3 linked regions of the Caenorhabditis elegans genome follow. The protein of the gene in region 1 purifies or fractionates together with the protein of each later gene. This does not show direct contact. Each region holds a gene or a part of one and is shown in the gene's direction. Other genes may lie near its edges.

Region 1 (5,956 bases):
ATTTGAAAGGCTATTCGGCATGTATTCGTTGTTTGATTCTCGACATTCAAGAATATCAGTTTGCATCCATTGACGAACCATTTCGTGACGTTGTTTTTCTAAATTTTCGTATTCATCGGGGTTCATAAGCTCCCATCGTTTGAATGTATCGTATTTGTCGACATTCACTTTCTATAAAACTTTTAGATGAATATGTGTGGATATTTCTCTATTTTTATAGTATAACTTTAAAATAGTAAGTATTTGAAAAGCTCATTTTTGAAATTACTTACAATTAAGTCTGATGTTGTAGGCAAAACAATATCCGGTCTGATGAGCTCGAACATTGCTCGAAATTTTGGATGATTTACGATAGAAAATTCAATGTTTGTACTTCTCAGAAAATCAATCATCAACACGTTGAGCATTTTCTTCTGATAAGCTTGTTTCTGAAATTTGGATTTTTTATAAATACCTAGGAAACTCTAAAACTGACCTCTTCATTGCTGATGTTCTCCATTTAGTTTTATTATTTAGGTAAATTAATTGCATAAAAAAATAAAGTTGACAATCAATATGGTAAGAAACTCGCTCAACGCAGGGTCAGCAGCGACGCAGACAACGAGACAAAGGCAGTGTAGGCAGCGAAACGACGGCAGAGATGTGTTTTGTGAGAATATAGGAGAATGAGGACGTAAGGAGAAAAAAAATCGTTGAGTGAACGATGAACGCTCTTATTAAATTAAAAAAAAAGAAACTAAAAATTAATGTAGAGAATTCAGTTCGAATTACCGCCGTAGCCCAATAGAGCGAGTTTGCGGACCTCTCAAGAAAAAGTTTTTACCTTAAAAGATTAGTGTGTCAATTTCAATTTTAAGTTTTCCCGTGTTTCTTTGGATCTTATTCCTGCTTGCGCATGTTTACATAAATTAAATGTACTCTGATTCCCGTTTTACAATGCAATTTGTTCTCTGAACCTCCAATTTTCTCATCATATTCGACGCTTTCAATCCTGAGCGAAAACAAAACACCTCGAGAAGATCGAATTGTCATCGTTTCTTGTAAAATTTTGAAAAAAGGTGACAAAACCTCCGGCATTTTTTGTTTGCGTCGTAGCCTAAAAGTAACAAGAGTGCAGGGGAGAAAAAAAAGTAATTCAATGCCAAACACCACTTTGTTTTTTGTTCATTCGTCGGCATTCGTCGGCACTCGTTCTAAAAGAACAGAAACTTATTTTCTCCTATCATTGCGTTCAATTTTTGAATTCAGGAAATACTTGAATCCTTATCCTTGAAATATTTTGAAATTTTTCTTTTCGAAAACCTATTGAGGTCAATTTTCTAGAAAGATAACATCTCACAGAACTCCGAGTGTGGTCTACAAGATAGTCACAAATTTCCCCCAATCTCTTATTCACTGCAGAAATCTGTCTCCGTCTCTTTGCTTATCTGGTTTCCTCGTTTTTCTTTTTTCTGTGCACTTTCCGTCAACCAGTTCAGTTTTTCTAACTGTACCCAATTATTGTTATAATAATAATTACACGGCCTATAAACAAAACAAATCGCCTCCACTAGTCAATATATAAATAAGCGATGGAAGTTGAGTGGAGTAGGCCACAAAATAATGATGATGACATTGATTGTTTGTCCAAAAATGAAGTAAAGAGCGGGAGGCGCCTCCTCACAAAAAACTAATCAAAGTCGTCTCTCACGTTTTTACAACTTTCCCCGAATTATCCAAAAACGTTCACATCAAATTTATAAATTCTGAGTAATGAAAAAATCCTTTCTGGCATCACTTTTTTCGAAACATTATCATCATTGTTTCATTGATGTTTCCCGAAATTGAACCATTTTGATCAAAATTTCACACATGAGAATTGTTTTCTGAAATAAATTGGTCATTTACGCCATAAGAGACTTTTAAAAATCAATTTTGTAACCGCAATCTATATTTTTCTTCTCTCCGTCACTCTTAAAATCCTTTTTTTTAATTTTCAATGGCTTTTTCCAGAAATTAAAATGGCCGAAGCTGATATTGCCGTCATCGGATTGGCCGTTATGGGTCAAAATCTTATTCTGAACATGAATGATCACGGATTCACTGTTTGCGCCTTCAACAGAACTGTCAAATTGGTCGACGATTTTCTTGCCAATGAAGCTAAAGGAACTAAGATTATTGGAGCTCATTCAATTGAGGAAATGTGCAAGAAATTGAAAAGACCACGTCGTGTCATGATGCTCATTAAAGCCGGAACTCCTGTCGATATGATGATCGATGCAATTGTTCCGCATCTTGAGGAAGGTGATATTATCATTGATGGAGGAAATTCTGAATACACTGATTCAAACGTAAGTTTTTGTTTTTTTCTAAATATTTATTTATTTTATTCATTAGACTTTTCTCTCTAAAAATAAAATAAATATGTAATATAGTGAATCGATTGTGAACTGACAAACAACAATTATTTTCAGAGACGCTCCGAGCAACTCGCCGCAAAGGGGATCATGTTCGTCGGCTGTGGAGTTTCCGGAGGAGAAGAAGGTATGAATTTGTATTTTGAATTGTTTGCAAAGAGTTGAGGTATACGGTAATTTATTTAAAAATACAATAACAGGGATTTAATGACCAGATTAAACCAAATGTTTGGAAATATGCTTTTTTAGATTAATATTAGTTCACTGGTCCACTTGCATCCACCGAGTTGGTTTTCATTGATATTTCTCTTTCCAGCGACTTTTGTTGCTTGTAATGTTCAGGAACCGGCTTATTGATCACAGTTAGCCTAGAAAAATGATTAACCAGTAAATAGTGAACAATTAAAAGTAAGGTTAATTGGAAAAATGATTAAAAACCATTCCTATGATGCTAAAATGACCAAATATCAAAATAAAACTCTTCGCTAAATTAACATGAATATTTAAAACATAATTATAACATAAAACCAAAATAAATTTTTTGGTACACTACTTCCAAAAAAATTGGTGAAAACTGAGTTCGCACCGCTTTTTGACTCGAAATACAAAAATTTTACAAAATTTTTTGAATATATTTAATATTATTTTTGGTAATTTAAATACAATATTAATGGTTTTTAATCATTTTCCAATTAACCATACTCTATTGCTAGGTTTAAAAAAAGCTAACCAAAAAGTGGCAAAAACTGCCTTATGATCCGACGGTGTTGTTCCTCTCATACAATCGTACTGAATGTTTTGGAGCCATTCCGAGTTTCTTACCCAAAAGAGAACGCGGTCCTAAAATATTGAAGTCTTAGCAATGTTTGTAATCAGAAATTACTCACAGTAAAAGACGGAATCCTTTTTGGCACATAATTGTCTGTGTCTGGCTCGAATTTATGTGTTGGAGGGAATTTAATTGGAGCTTCCTTGAAATCTGTGAATGCTAATTGCTTTTTCCTATGACTGGCAAGCTCTTCTGTTTCAAAAACATCTCTAAATGTTTTCTCTGTAATCTTTTCCGGATCTCTCCAGTCTACATTGCTCTCTACAGTAACCCGGAAATTCAAATCTCCAATCCAAAGCACCACCTGAAAATGATTTATGGAGGAAGTGTCGCCCTTCAGAGGCGCTTACGTCAGAACCAAAAATTTCGTCTTTTGCATGTGCATGAAATCTGGCAAGCTGAGGAAAACGAAGAGTGCGGACCACTTTAGCGTAGTCTTGGATACGTTGTTGTGGTGTTGCATCTGTAAGAATATAACATTTTTGTGTTCTCATCATTAGTCTAACAATGTAAGGGACCACTCACGTGATAAATGACATCCGATAAGCACTATAAATCGCTGATATAAACGAAGACATACCGCGATTGCACCTTTCGTTCGAACTGGTTTTGCCATTGCACCAGATGCGATAAATGATACTTGTGGTTCTAGAAATTTTAAACTATTAGATTCTAGATTATAAGATCTGAACTCACGGATTGCATATCGAAGATGTTTCTGTCGAATGAAGACTATTACCATTTGACTCCAGGCTCTATGTGAAAGGTACAGACGATGACCATTGAGAACTGGCTCAAGAATTCGTAATGCTTCTTCATGAAAAGTTCTGAAACTGATTTTAGTTAATCGAAAATTAATAGTTTTCGGAACTAACGGTGCTGTGGAAGGTATTTCTTGCAATGAGATGAAAAATATATCACTATCCATTTCTTGTCCTCGTTCTGCTATTTTCTGAGCGAGATGGCTCAATATTTTCACACCTTTTTCGTTAATGTTCCATGTCACGGTACATACTTTCAGTTTTCTATCACCCATAGCTTCAATAACGTCGTAACTGACAATTGGAACATTCCCAAATCCTTTTACAGCAGGGCTAAATATCATATGTTCAATGAATGATGAAAAAAAAGTAATCACTTACGCAGTATTTTGCGTTTCAATGCAGTATGTCCAATTGCCGTCACTGATCTCGTTGACTGAAATGAAGTGTAATGGGTGTCAGAACAATAGGATTAAGTCGGGGAAGGATTAGAGGCTTACATGAGGCGCTGTTACGCCACGTGGCAGGTTGAGAGGAAGAACGGAGCCATGGAGGGTGTCGAGTAGGAGTTTGATGTGATTGCTTCTCACTTGAAGAATCTCCTGATTTTGGATCACCTCCAGATGCAGAGGGAGTGTTGGCATCTAAAAGAAATTGATACGTCCAAATAAATGTAGAATACTAGATTTCAACTCAAATGTTTCTCAGTCTTACCCATTTACTGTATGAATTAAATAACTTGGCTTATTGCTTCGTTTCAACCAACTAAGCTTCGAAATGCATATTGAAAATAGAGAACATAAATCCAATAGCGACGGACTCTATCAGAGGCTTCAAGTATAGGAACGGGAGGGAAGAGCGCGCACTTTTGTATGTCAGAAAGCCCGCGTTTTTCGTGTGCAATTCGCTCGTTTTTGTCCGATGATAAAATGACGAACAAGTATAACGGACGACTCTGGTGTTGGTGGTGCTATATAATGTTATGTAGATTTCGGTGTGCAAAGGGAAATGGGCAAGTGCAGAGATGAATGGGGACAGGAGAAAAGTTTGGAGACGCAGGACGAACGAGTGAGACGGGCGTGAGAGAAGAAGTATTTGAATGGGTGCCCATGGAAAAGCATTCAGAAGGCGAAGCAACAGGAAAACTTGTGTTGCTAGGTTTCCGATTACATGCCAAGTGGAAATTTTAGAAAAGAGTCTGGGTCGCCACTGGAGAAAAGAGTCTGGGTCGCCATATGCTTCCTTATTTTTTAAGAAAACCAAGAGAAATGAAAAGAAACGACAAAATTAAACACATGAATCTAGATCTTCTCGAGCTATAATTATTCTCCCTCACTAGAAATAAAAATAAAATACAATTAGAAGAACTTGAAAACTCGTTGTAATATGATAATTCCAAGTATCTTTCTTTGTTTCTTCTGCTTTTTCGAGTTTTTTCAATGATAAAATTTGCTAAATTTTGCCTACTTTTCCAGCAACGGTAATTATGTTATCTTTTGGCGAATGTTATTTGAAAATAGTGTTATGAGAAAATATGAAATACATATGACTTCCAGACTTCAATCAAAAATAAGAATTCTTGTGTATATACGAAAGTATTTTTGAAACTTCTCGAAAATTTCACACTTGCTATTTTATTTTTGATAATATTAGGTTTAGCAGAACATGTAATCAGAACACAGACTTACCAGCACTACTAGAATATGATCCGGACCATGGAAATACTCGAAACATCACTTTTTATATGAAATCATTTGCAATACACCTGCTGCGAGATTTAAGACTAACAAAAAATATGAGTGCTTTGTCTTTCCTGTCTGAGGGCGTAGAATGAAATCAGGAAATTTGGTCGCGAAATAGTCTGTGAGAAGTAGAGAATCTGACAACGAGGAGGAGTTTTGAGATACCTATACATGCAAGTGTATGATTGAAAAAGAGAAGAGCTCTAATTGAATGCGCATTGAGATGTG
Region 2 (4,713 bases), on another chromosome or scaffold:
TCAAGTAACGGTCAATATGGAAGATATCAGTGATGACGAAGAAGTTTGATTCACAATTGGCTGGAAAACTTTGTTTTGTTCGAAATCAATTCAATCGTAGAATCGTTATTGGAAAATCTCGTTCTTTTTTAATTCAATTTAAGTTTTTGAATGAAGTTTTACTCATAACTTCCGTTTAATTTTATTTGTTGTTAATTTTCTAATCGTCAAAATATCGATGAATATATTTATTTCTCATAGTAGTGACCAACATTTCAGTCACTCGAAAAAACAATACTTTCAGGAACACAGAATGTCAGAAACTTGGGAAGCGTTGCGGAAGAAAGCCCGAAGCACAGAAAATTCCATCGATGTCAAGCTCGTCTCCCTGAATAAATTAACGGCTAGCTCTCATGGTAAGTATTACCAAGAATTTTACGATTTTATCCTCAGAAAATACGATACCGGGTCTTGACACGAAACATTTTCATAAAATACAAAAAAGTGTGCGCCTTTGAAGAGTACTGCACTTTCTGAATTGTGTTGATGCGGAAGTTTCAAAAAAAATATATGTATTTATTTGAAAAACCCAAATATTATATATTCTGAAAAAAAAACTTTAAAAAAGAAAAAGAAACTAATGAAAAAACCAAAAAGGGCATTTATAAAGAACATTTTCGTGTCGAGACCGGGTACAGTATTTTTGGCGTTTGAATAACCAACTTTCGAACATGTCTCTCAGAAAAATATTTAATAAACATGTTTCCTATTGAAAAAATATTTCAGGCGGTTTTGACATCGACGAGAAAACAGTTTCCTCAAGACAAACGAGCTTCAAAACAGTGACAACAGAAATCGAAGGATTGATAGAGCAATTGACAAATATCAATGATGATGTTAGTTTATTTTCAATTTTGTTTTTAAATTCGTCAACTTCAGATGAATGACGTAGCTGGTGCTCAATCCTCGGCATCTTGGGCTAATAATCCAGCCATTCAACACACACTTCGACGACATCGAGAAATTCTTCGAGATTACGGTAGTGAGTATCGACGTGCAAGAGATAATGTTGATCAGGTATTACAGAGGTATGAAAAATACTTTTTTTAAATTAAACAATACGATATTATTCAGAGAACTCTTGTTGAGCAGTTCAAATGAAAATCGTAATAATCCTATACTGAACAACAGGGCTCGTGGATATGATATGTATTTGAAGGTATTTTTGGGAAGAATTTCAAGAAAGTAGTACTAATTAATTTAATTTCAGGAGAATGACCATATAAACGCTTGTGATCGATTGTTAGATGAACAGTTAGAAATGGCAATGTCAACGAAAGAGAATATGGCCAGACAGGGAATTAATCTACGTGGAATATCAACTCGGCTTCATCATATTTCAAGTAATTTATCTTTAAAAGGGAAACAATTAAAGTAAATCTAAGTATTTATGAACATTTCTGATAAAAATGTTCCTGAAACACCCGATCTTTTTTGAAATCGTCAATCTAGATTAATTTAGACCTAATAAACTTGAGTTCAAATTTCTTGCAATACAGTTTTTTGACAAAAAATCTTTAAAAAAAAACAACAAAAAATTTATTTGAAATTTGGACCGAAAAACAAAAGTTAGAATTTCTCCAAAAAGCCGAAAAAATTTCAAAAAAAAATTCCTCCTTTCAACTGAGACTCAACATTTTTGAAAAACAGTTTTACAAGCTGCATAATAATTATCAAAACAACTTTTTTTAGAAAAATATCCTGCAATTAACAATTTGATGCAAAAAATCAAAACGAAAAAGCAGAAGAACACACTGATCCTTGCTGCCGTCATCTCATCGTGCCTTATTTTTACAATTTTCTGGATTATCAATTAATCAGTTTCAAATATCAAAAAAAAACTCAAAAACTTTTTCGAACTCCGATTTTCGTATTTTTCGAAGAAATTTAACAATCGGCAGTCGTAACTTTTTATCAAGTTTTCGAGTTGTTATTACTTTGTGTCAATGAAAAATAGAAACTGAATGATAAGAATAATCGATTTTTGTACTATTCCCTTGTCCCTTCATACAACGCACACCACTTTCATTGTGATATTCCTCACCGTTTTTCTAATTTTTACTTGTAAATAATTTTCTCGTTTTGTAATCTTTCGAGTATAATGGAGTTCTTGGCTTTTTCGTTTTTTTCTCGATGTGAAACAATTGGGTATACATATTTATGAATTAAAGTATTATTTAAAGATTTTTTTGAAAGTTTACAGTTGAAAGTTTAATTCTATAACTTTATTTGTTCATTGATTCTGGATGATAAAATTTATTTATCTAGAATTCAGATGACCCTCCGTCCATTTGTGTGTCCATCAATTCTGAATGCCGATCTTGCATCATTGGCTTCTGAATGCAAGAAACTTTTAGCAGCTGGAGCAGATTGGTAAGGTGATCTTTAGAAATTCTGAATAGTTTTGACAACTACTTTCATATTTAAATGTCCCTTTAGATTTCAAAAATCTAAATGGGAACGCACAAAAACCTCTTCTGAAATCAACATGGAAACGTACTCCACGGCCAATTGGAAACGCTCCGACCCCCCGAGATTACGGTCTCGTTAGGTATTTGGCCACAAAATCGCAAATTGAAATTGTTTTCATCTTCAAACACAAATTGGCAGGACTAATTGAAAACGCTTAAACTATCAATGTCAATACCTAATGAGACCCATGGTTCGAGGGGCGGAGCGTTTTCATTTAGCAGTAAGTAAGTAACGTTTCCACTTGGATTTTCAAAGGATTTACTTTCTGCGTTCCCATAGTATCCAGCTCCCAACTTGCAGGCTTCACCTCGACGTGATGGACGGTCACTTTGTACCAAACCTCACATTCGGTCACCCTGTCGTTGAATCTCTTCGTAAATCTCTTGGTGCTGAACCATTCTTCGATGTTCATTTGATGGTCTCTAATCCTGGACAGTGGGTTGAACCGATGGCAAAAGCTGGTGCCAGCCAGTTCACATTCCATTATGAGGCTGTAGATGGTGATGTGGCAGTCAGTGAATTGATCGAAAAAATCAGAAAAAGTGGAATGAAAGTGGGATTATCGGTCAAACCGGGAACTTCTGTTGAGCATATTTTGAAGTAAAATCAAAATTATATTTCAATCTAGATTTTAAATTAAAAAACTTTTTAGACATGCTAATCATTTGGATAATGCTCTTATCATGACTGTGGAACCAGGATTTGGAGGACAAAAGTTCATGGAAAACATGATGGAAAAGGTATTTATTTTGGTTTTTATTTGATACGAATAAAATTTATGGCTTTCAGGTTCGCACAATCCGTTCAAAATATCCAAATCTGACTATTCAAGTTGACGGAGGAGTAACACCTGAAAATATTGAAATCTCTGCTCAAGCTGGAGCCAATGCGATCGTGAGTGGAACTGGAATCATCAAAGCTGCAGATCAATCTGTCGCCATGACAACAATCAGAAATGCAGTTGAAGCTGCTATTTCGAAGTGCTGATTTTCTTAATTACTTGAATATTGTTTTGAATTTTGAAGCTCATTTTTTCAGAGCTTTTTGAGGTTGTGATGTTAATAGTTAGTAAATGATTGTCAATTAAAAAATTCAAAGCAGCATTTATTTATCTATAAAGTTCAGATGGGCTCTGCAGTTCCTAGCTTCGGGGTCGGAGCAGGTGTCTGAAAAAAGAGCATTACAAAACATCATGGACCATTCTTCAGTTGCTTACATTTTTAACACTTTCCTTCTCCTTGCTCGGAGTCTTCTTATCCTGATTTGATGGCAATACTCCAGTACTTCCAATTGTATCTTTACTCGGAGTCTTTCGTGGTTCGATATTTCCTGCCTCTTGGCTCATTGCAGTATTCAACGACGGCTCCTTGCTTCTTCCTCCAGCATTTGCAGTCTTTGTAGATTGCTTCGGAGTCAACATGATCTCACGAGACGGCTGCTTACGATTCGGAATTGGAGGAGGAGAACGTGGCAATGTCTTTTTCTGAAAAATTGGTTGTACTTTTGCTCAAGATCTTGGAGTACTACAAAAGCTAAAAAATATTTCGAAAAATAAAAAACGAACCAGATCAGTCTCACTCTCCTTTGGTGTCTTCTGTAAGCTGAGCATGGCCGATTTTGGAGCAGGCTGAAAATTGATTGAAATGAATGAAAACACTCGAGTGAACATACAAACCTCTTCAATAGTTCCAAGTGTCATAGTCTTCGATTTACGAGTATCTTCATCTGAAAATTGATTTCGATTATTTGCAAGAAATAGACAGACACTTCACCAGTCCCTTTCCTTCTGCCTACCTAATACTTACTTCACACCTGCCTGCGTACGTGTCCACCTCATCCCTACATCTTACGGCTTTGCCGACTTGCACAACCCCCCTCAATACCTACTCCCTGTCTATCTGACCACCAGGGCAACCAAGTTGCTGGTTGCCGAAAATTGGAGCGTATGGCAACTAAACAATAACCGAGTTCTGATTCTTACCTCCCATCGTGTCATAAACACGTTCAATATCAGATGGTGGAAATGTGACATCTTCTGGATATCGATTATCTTTTTTTCCTGGTTTTGTTTCCTCTGAAATAATGAATTTTGGAGAGACAGATACAGAGAAAGACATACGTTTTTGTCCATTTGTCGAGTAGTTCACATTGACAGAACCCAAATGATTAGGATGACAGATTTGTTTGCAGATTTCGATTGGA
Region 3 (6,683 bases), 4.5 Mb from region 1:
CGGCCGGGGAGTGTCATTCCACAATAATCAACATGTATATCAGATATACCATGTGGTTTGAAATTGAATGGTGATTTATCATAAGAGCCATTGTACGCGTCAGAATCAACAAGACCAATGAAAATTCGACGGGGCATCTTGCTTGTGAAGAGTGTGTTAGCCGGCGCGTCAAGACGTCCAGACTCTATATAGAAACTGCGCACCTGTGAAGATATTAGAGGATATTGGATTATTTTGTGCTCAATAATGGAGCTCTCTAGAGCATTAGATAGACCGTCGGCAAGATCGAATTCGTTAACCAGAGCGTAAACGTCGGTTATTTTGAACTGAAACTCTGTGTTGTTGTCGCGATTGTAAACCTCAATCAAAAATTTACTATCATTTGGGTAAACTGTAAGTTTCACATTACAACCGTTCAAGAGCACTCGCGGCTGATTCATCAAGTCAATCGAAATGTTTGCCGCAACTTGTATTTCGTCCTGGTTGTAAATTGAGGCACAACGCTGTTGAAACCCAGGACTACGGTGGTCGCCAATCACAGGGTCATGATAGAAACCGGCCGCGGTTAGAGTGGAGTTTTGAATTTCCTTCCCGTACATTAAAACGTGTTCAAAATAGCTCTTGTACGCATAGTTTGACGAGTTGTGAAAAGCTAATTGTGAATTAATGTGTAGTGTGAAATTTCAGATCGACTAGTTTTCCGGTCACAACTCGGATCCCCGTTTTCAATGCACAACTTTACGATCCACACATTTCAACGTTTTATACACTAATTAATGCCAGAAACTTATTCGCAACATTGGCACACATGAAGCAATAATTAATAGGCACACACGGTTTTCAGTGAAATTCCTCAATTATTCTAAAACGGGGGACCAACCGAGAAATTTGCAAAAATGCGCAACTTTAAGTCTTTTGCACAACTATTCCCACTATACTACTAACTTACTCTAATTGCTTGATGTTTAAGCAATAAAATAACAGAAAAATAACATAGTATGATATATTGCATAAAAGAAGATAGGACCGCCACCAAGCAGTCGAAGAAGGCAGAATGAGTGATTTCTTCTTCAGAAAATGGGCGGGTTTGTGGCTTCTCTGACTCTCTCAAAAGCTCAGAATGTGTGACGTTAGAGCTAGAGATTATTGAAATGTAGGAGGTTTTGAGAGATTAGCAAAAAAGGAAAAAAGGATTAGAAATGTTTTCAAGCTCTTCTTTATGCCAAGATCATGAAACGAAAGACTTGTTTGAGAAGAGGGAAATAAGATTATGAAATTATGAAAAAAGATGGAAAATAAATAGTTTTAATTGTATTTCAATCATGCTTCAATTGGCCAACTCTTGTGTTCAAATTTAAATTAAACAAAAAAATTATTATGCTGTTTCACGAATACTATATGAACAGAGGCATTTTCTCTGTTTTGATATTGAAACTTCAGCTGAAAAAAAGATCTCGTAAAAACAGTCTTGATCATGAATTAAACTAATCTCTTCTTGTTAATGTTAGTAATGATAGAAAAATATTGCCTGAACTTTGTGGTTCCACTTATTTTAACTTATAAAATAGTGAAACGCATCTAGTAATTCGAAGAAAAAGCAAACTCTCTATTGAGGTTTTCAACAAAATCACAAAGTTGGCAATCACATTTTTTTCCAAATTCCACAAAATTGATGAGTAGGTTTTATCGGACACCTAATATAATTGCTCAAGTCAGAGCAAACCTATTATTATTATCAGTAATTTCAAGTTTTGGTAGTTCAGCCAAAATTGATTTCGGGAAAACTATGAAACCGCTAAAAATGTTTACATCAAAGTCTAAACTGCAAAAATGTTGGAAAATATTGTAAAAGTATGAAATATTGAAGTTAAAGTGCTAATAATTTTTAATTTAATTTTAATTTAATTTAATTTTTATTTTGACCAGTACGCTCCTGGAAATGTGTTACCCCCACTTTCGCCAAAACTGTATTTAGAAATTTTTTAGCGTATTTTTATTTAAAAACATGTTTTACACTTATGGAAATAATACTAAATTTTTTATTATCCACTACGTTGTTTTAAACTATTTACTTGTCCACATTCTCTCTCCGAGCCCACTTTAAAACAAGGAAACATGAATTTTCTGTAAAATTTCAGTTAATTTCCTCTGACCCTTTTTACAAACACCAGCTAATTACAATCTACTACGATAATTTTAAAAGACCATTCCTCCCCCTATTTATACAATACCACCACGCTGTAGTCAGACTGTCTTCGATCTCTGCGTCTCTCAATTACTTTCTATTTTCTTTGTTTTTGATAAGACTACACTCTTCCTACCCAGTACATATGCAATTGCTTTTGTCTTAATTTTGTTCAGTTTATTTTAACATATATTCTGCTGAAAATAAAATGAATCTTTTGAATTTAAAGGATTTATTTAGTAAATTTTTCAGTTTCAGATCAAAAATGAGTGCTCCTTTAATTGACAAATACCGGAAAATGGCAACTTTCGACTGGAAAAAATTGAAAGCAGCCGTTGAAGGAGAAGAACATGTTAGACTGAAGGTATAGTAGATTTTGGATTTATAAAATATTTATATATATTTCAGTCAGAAGTAGTTGCTAAAATGAAGTCAGAACCAGTATTTCACAGAGATTATCGAGTATTGAGTAGAGAAGAGCAAAGAGAAGTTGTTCATCAGAGATGGAAGAAAATTGTCGAATGGGGGTTGTTCAAAGATGTATTTCTTATTAAATTGTAGATTTTCAATATATTCGAATATTCAGCCGTACTCCGATCTTGAAAACTTCCATGCATTGACTGAAACTCTTGAAGCTTATGATCAAGGCACATCTGCAAGGCTTTTCCTCCACGGAAATGTTTTTGGAGCAGCTGTTAAGTCAATGGGAACAGATAGACATAAGGATTTGATTCAGAAAACTGAAAACAATGAGGTGAATTTCAAAGAAAATAGCATACAAAATTAAGAAGTACTCAAGAAAAAGAAAAATCAAAACAAATTTGAAAATAATTTATTCTAAAGAAATTTAAACAAAAGCGCATTGTATTCAAATCTGGAAAGTTTAGGTTTCCTTGCAAAATAGCAAATTTCAGATCGTCGGAGCATTTTGTCTGACAGAAGTAGGCCATGGTTCAAACACTGCTGAAATTCAAACAACAGCTACATTTGACAATGGAGAACTTGTTTTCAATACTCCAAGTGTCAGTGCAATCAAATGTTGGGCTGGAAATCTCGGTGGGTTTTAAAACATTTTTAATTTTAAATTTAAAAAAATCCATTTTTTTAGCTCACTCGGCCACTCACGTAGTTGTTTATGCTCAACTTCATGTCGAAGGAAAGAACGAGGGATTTCATGGATTTGTGATTCAAGTTCGTTGCCCTAGAACTTTCCAAACTCTACCAGGAATTACCATTGGAGACATGGGCTCGAAACCAGGATGCTGGCAGGGAGTAGAAAATGGCTGGATGGAGTTTAAGAACCATAGAGCTCCTCTGAGTGCACTTTTGAATAAGGGTTGTGATATTACTCCGGATGGAAAATATGTGACAAGTTTCAAATCTGCAAGTGAGAAGCAGAGTGTCAGTTTGGGAACATTGTCAGTTGGAAGGTATGTTTTCAATACTTTACGACGCCGGCCGTATAGAAAAATTTTTTAATTGAGTGAAATTTGTATCTAAAAGAATTTCTGTTAAAAAAATCAGGTTCTGAAGAATTTCTAGCCGCTGTTTTACCAACTTTTTAAATGTGTTGTTTTTTTCTCAGTTTTAGTAGATACAAGATGCAAATTTCACGGCCGAGCCTTATTATCAATAAAAGCAAAATCTCAAAACGAATCTATTCCAGCTTTAATCGATACTTTTAAAATATGAATTGATTTTCTAGAGTGAAGCCATTGTATTTAATACAAATAGAAATAATGGAAATGGCATTCTTAGGACAATTCGAAATTGTAAAAGCAGACGAATTCATAAAGTTGGGAAAACAGTGCAATCTATAAGTTTTTCCGATTGATTTTTTTCAAACAAAATACTGTTTCAAAATTCAAACTTTACCAACAATGGTTTCACAATAACACAAATTTCAGACTCGGAATTATCGCAAAAGGAATGATGGCTTGCACTTTTGCATCTACAATTGCTATTCGATACAGTGTTGCTCGGCGACAGTTTGGACCAGTAAAAGGCGGTGAGCACCATTCCTTTTCTCAATTTCTCAACTTTTGTATAATTCAGCTGAAAATGAGATCCCAGTTCTCGAGTATCCACTTCAACAGTATCGTCTATTCCCGTACCTATCCGCTGCAATTTGCATTAGAATATTCCAGAAGAAGTGGGAACTCTAAACAAATTGTTTTCAATAATTAGTTAAACTTTATAGGTTTGTCGGACATTTCACTGAATATATGATGAGAGTCATAATGGGAGAAAAGTCAGACGAGCTCTCCGAGTTCTCAAAAGAAGTACATGCATTGTCGTCTGGAGCTAAACCGGTTGCAACGTGGCTTGGTGTAGAATCCCTTGGAGAAGCTAGAAAAGCTTGTGGAGGTCATGGGTATGTTTCCTAACATAACCTGAAACTTAACTTTAAGAAACTCATTTTTTGAGAATTCGTCTTTCTATTTTTTCCAGATTAAAGTTAAAATTTAAATTACAGATACCTACAAATGTCACGATTGAACACCCTCCGAGATGACAACGATCCATCACAAACATTTGAAGGAGAAAACTTTATGATTTTGCAACAAACCAGCAATATTTTGCTAGGAAAAGTAAACTTAATTGTCAGATTCTTTAATCATATTGAGATTCTGATGTTCAGGCTCAATCAATTGGATCCATTGAGACCCCGATGTCTACTATGTCATTCTTGAATCAAAAACCTTCAAAGTTCTCATCATGGTCTTCGAATCCAGTTAATGACGTGTTGTCTGCGTACCGATATCTCACTTATCACTTACTTCAAACAACTTCGGCAGAAGCTTACAGACTAAAAGCATCTGGAAAGAATTCATTCGAAGTTCGAAATGAAATTCAAATTCATAGAGCTGTCAATTTGTCTGTTGCATACACAGAACATACAATGATCCATTGGGTTCAACAGTTCTTGAAAGAAATTGAAGATCAAAGTGTGAAGCCGGTTCTTCAAAAAGTTTTGAATCTTTTCTCACTTTTCCTTTTGGAAAGACATCTTGCAACTCTTTATATTACTGGATATGCTTCTGGTGGAAAGTTTGGAGAAGATCTTCGAGAGAAGCTTAGACTCGCTGTAGCCGAATTAAAACCCGAGGCCATTGCTTTAGTGGACTCGATTGCTCCAGATGATTTCATTTTACATTCAGCTCTGGGAGCATCTGATGGAAAGTCAGTTTTAAAATGTAAAGGTTTCTGCTGAACTTTAAATTTGATTTTCAGAGCGTACGAGCATATAATGGAAGAATTCCGGAAGTATACAAATGAACAACCAAGATGGGTTTGCGATTTGGCTCAGTTTTTGCAAAAGAGATCACAAGGATCCAAGCTATAATATTTCACAAACTGTATATTTCCCAATAAATCCAGTTTTTGAATAAATTCAAAATATACAAACAATTTCAAATTTCTTTGAAAGCTAAAATTTTTGCAAAAAATAAAAATCTAAACGTATAAGCAAAGTTTTCAGATTTATACATATCGTCGACGTGAAACGGCAAAATTTTTTAAATGTTTAATTGAAAAAATTTATTAAAACTTTGGTACCCGGATGTCAGGAAATGCTTAAAAGGCTTCTAACACTGGAAAATAGTTTCTCATTTAGAACCAAAACGATAATGTTGCGTTAGTTTAAATGAATTTATATGATTAATGTGAAACGGGGAAAATTTAAAATAGTGATAGCGCCCACGGGGAAAATGTTTAAAACTATTTATTAAGTGCCAAAAATCATTGTAGAACTTTCACAATGTATTTATAAAATAATATTTATATGAAATAACACCAAAATTTAATTTATTTCCACGCCAATTTCTAATTTTACTTTAAAAACTGTTCTCACAATATTATTGTATCAATGTTGTCGCGAAGTCGATGAATACAAAGATTAACTCGCTCACGACTTTTATTTTTAATTTCTATTCTCCACGTGATAAAGAATCCATTTCACATATCTGGAGAATTTATAAATTTATCAACTCTCATTAATTTGCTAATTGGCTTGAAAGGGTTGTGCATCAAAAAGGTCTTCCGTTTGAAATTCTTCGCACGATGACAAATAATTTCAAAAATACAATTTTCAAAACTTAAAGTTTTTCAGAACTCGTCCGTCTGATTCTCCAATGTCAACTTTGTATTGCGTGCGAATAACTTCAGGAAACTCTACAAAGGCTCAGAAAGGCTGTAAAAGCTCGAACACAACTGAAGCTCCGTATACCAATGTTGCGTGATTTCAAAAAAGTGTTATACCATCAATGGGAAACGGTAAAAAGTTTTTTTTAATTTGTAGGTGCAAAATGCTTTGAAAATTTTTTGTTTCGAGATTTTAAAAATAGAATAACACAAATTTTTATCAAATTTCAAACAATAATCATTTGATACCATCCGTTAATATAATCTCCATTGTAATCATATTTCCAGTATAAAGAACCCATTTCACATGTGAAACTGATTGAAAGTTTTTCTAACCCTGATTCAATTGATGTCA

The links.
Region 2: the proteins of T25B9.9 (region 1) and F08F8.7 fractionate together in Caenorhabditis elegans (co-fractionation; one large-scale study listed by BioGRID). This does not show direct contact.
Region 3: the proteins of T25B9.9 (region 1) and acox-3 fractionate together in Caenorhabditis elegans (co-fractionation; one large-scale study listed by BioGRID). This does not show direct contact.

The regions. Positions count from the first base shown.
Region 1 is NC_003282.8:10,767,661-10,773,616, forward strand, and holds the start of T25B9.9 (6-phosphogluconate dehydrogenase, decarboxylating), read left to right. Parts: upstream 1-1,992; 5' UTR 1,993-2,000; coding exon 2,001-2,330; intron 2,331-2,453; coding exon 2,454-2,523; intron 2,524-2,557; exon of another isoform or gene 2,558-2,652; coding exon of another isoform or gene 2,653-2,764; intron 2,765-3,126; coding exon of another isoform or gene 3,127-3,236; intron 3,237-3,283; coding exon of another isoform or gene 3,284-3,529; intron 3,530-3,575; coding exon of another isoform or gene 3,576-3,688; intron 3,689-3,750; coding exon of another isoform or gene 3,751-3,873; intron 3,874-3,921; coding exon of another isoform or gene 3,922-4,052; intron 4,053-4,100; coding exon of another isoform or gene 4,101-4,319; intron 4,320-4,367; coding exon of another isoform or gene 4,368-4,422; intron 4,423-4,486; coding exon of another isoform or gene 4,487-4,630; intron 4,631-4,700; coding exon of another isoform or gene 4,701-4,704; exon of another isoform or gene 4,705-5,087; intron 5,088-5,674; coding exon of another isoform or gene 5,675-5,720; exon of another isoform or gene 5,721-5,786; intron 5,787-5,956. Other genes in the region: T25B9.8 (Lin-15A/B-like domain-containing protein), read right to left, coding at 1-171, 273-428, 476-499; inpp-1 (Inositol polyphosphate-related phosphatase domain-containing protein), read right to left, coding at 2,653-2,764, 3,127-3,236, 3,284-3,529, 3,576-3,688, 3,751-3,873, 3,922-4,052, 4,101-4,319, 4,368-4,422 and 2 more. UniProt on the Caenorhabditis elegans protein: Catalyzes the oxidative decarboxylation of 6-phosphogluconate to ribulose 5-phosphate and CO(2), with concomitant reduction of NADP to NADPH.
Region 2 is NC_003281.10:7,344,744-7,349,456, reverse strand, and holds F08F8.7 (Ribulose-phosphate 3-epimerase), read left to right. Parts: upstream 1-2,307; 5' UTR 2,308-2,314; coding exon 2,315-2,412; intron 2,413-2,811; coding exon 2,812-3,111; intron 3,112-3,163; coding exon 3,164-3,251; intron 3,252-3,300; coding exon 3,301-3,498; 3' UTR 3,499-3,602; downstream 3,603-4,713. Other genes in the region: F08F8.9 (uncharacterized protein), read left to right, coding at 1-49; gos-28 (Golgi SNAP receptor complex member 1), read left to right, coding at 293-395, 766-875, 919-1,067, 1,114-1,198, 1,250-1,382, 1,732-1,856; F08F8.6 (uncharacterized protein), read right to left, coding at 3,633-3,677, 3,728-3,994, 4,076-4,138, 4,187-4,236, 4,493-4,585, 4,631-4,713.
Region 3 is NC_003282.8:6,244,247-6,250,929, reverse strand, and holds acox-3 (Acyl-coenzyme A oxidase acox-3), read left to right. Parts: upstream 1-2,437; 5' UTR 2,438-2,450; coding exon 2,451-2,549; intron 2,550-2,593; coding exon 2,594-2,725; intron 2,726-2,771; coding exon 2,772-2,939; intron 2,940-3,099; coding exon 3,100-3,241; intron 3,242-3,293; coding exon 3,294-3,615; intron 3,616-3,776; exon of another isoform or gene 3,777-3,797; intron 3,798-3,926; exon of another isoform or gene 3,927-3,948; intron 3,949-4,092; coding exon 4,093-4,193; intron 4,194-4,240; coding exon 4,241-4,337; intron 4,338-4,385; coding exon 4,386-4,559; intron 4,560-4,661; coding exon 4,662-4,776; intron 4,777-4,826; coding exon 4,827-5,368; intron 5,369-5,419; coding exon 5,420-5,531; 3' UTR 5,532-5,572; downstream 5,573-6,683. UniProt on the Caenorhabditis elegans protein: Involved in the first step of peroxisomal beta-oxidation by catalyzing the desaturation of fatty acid-derived side chains of ascaroside pheromones, which regulates development and behavior.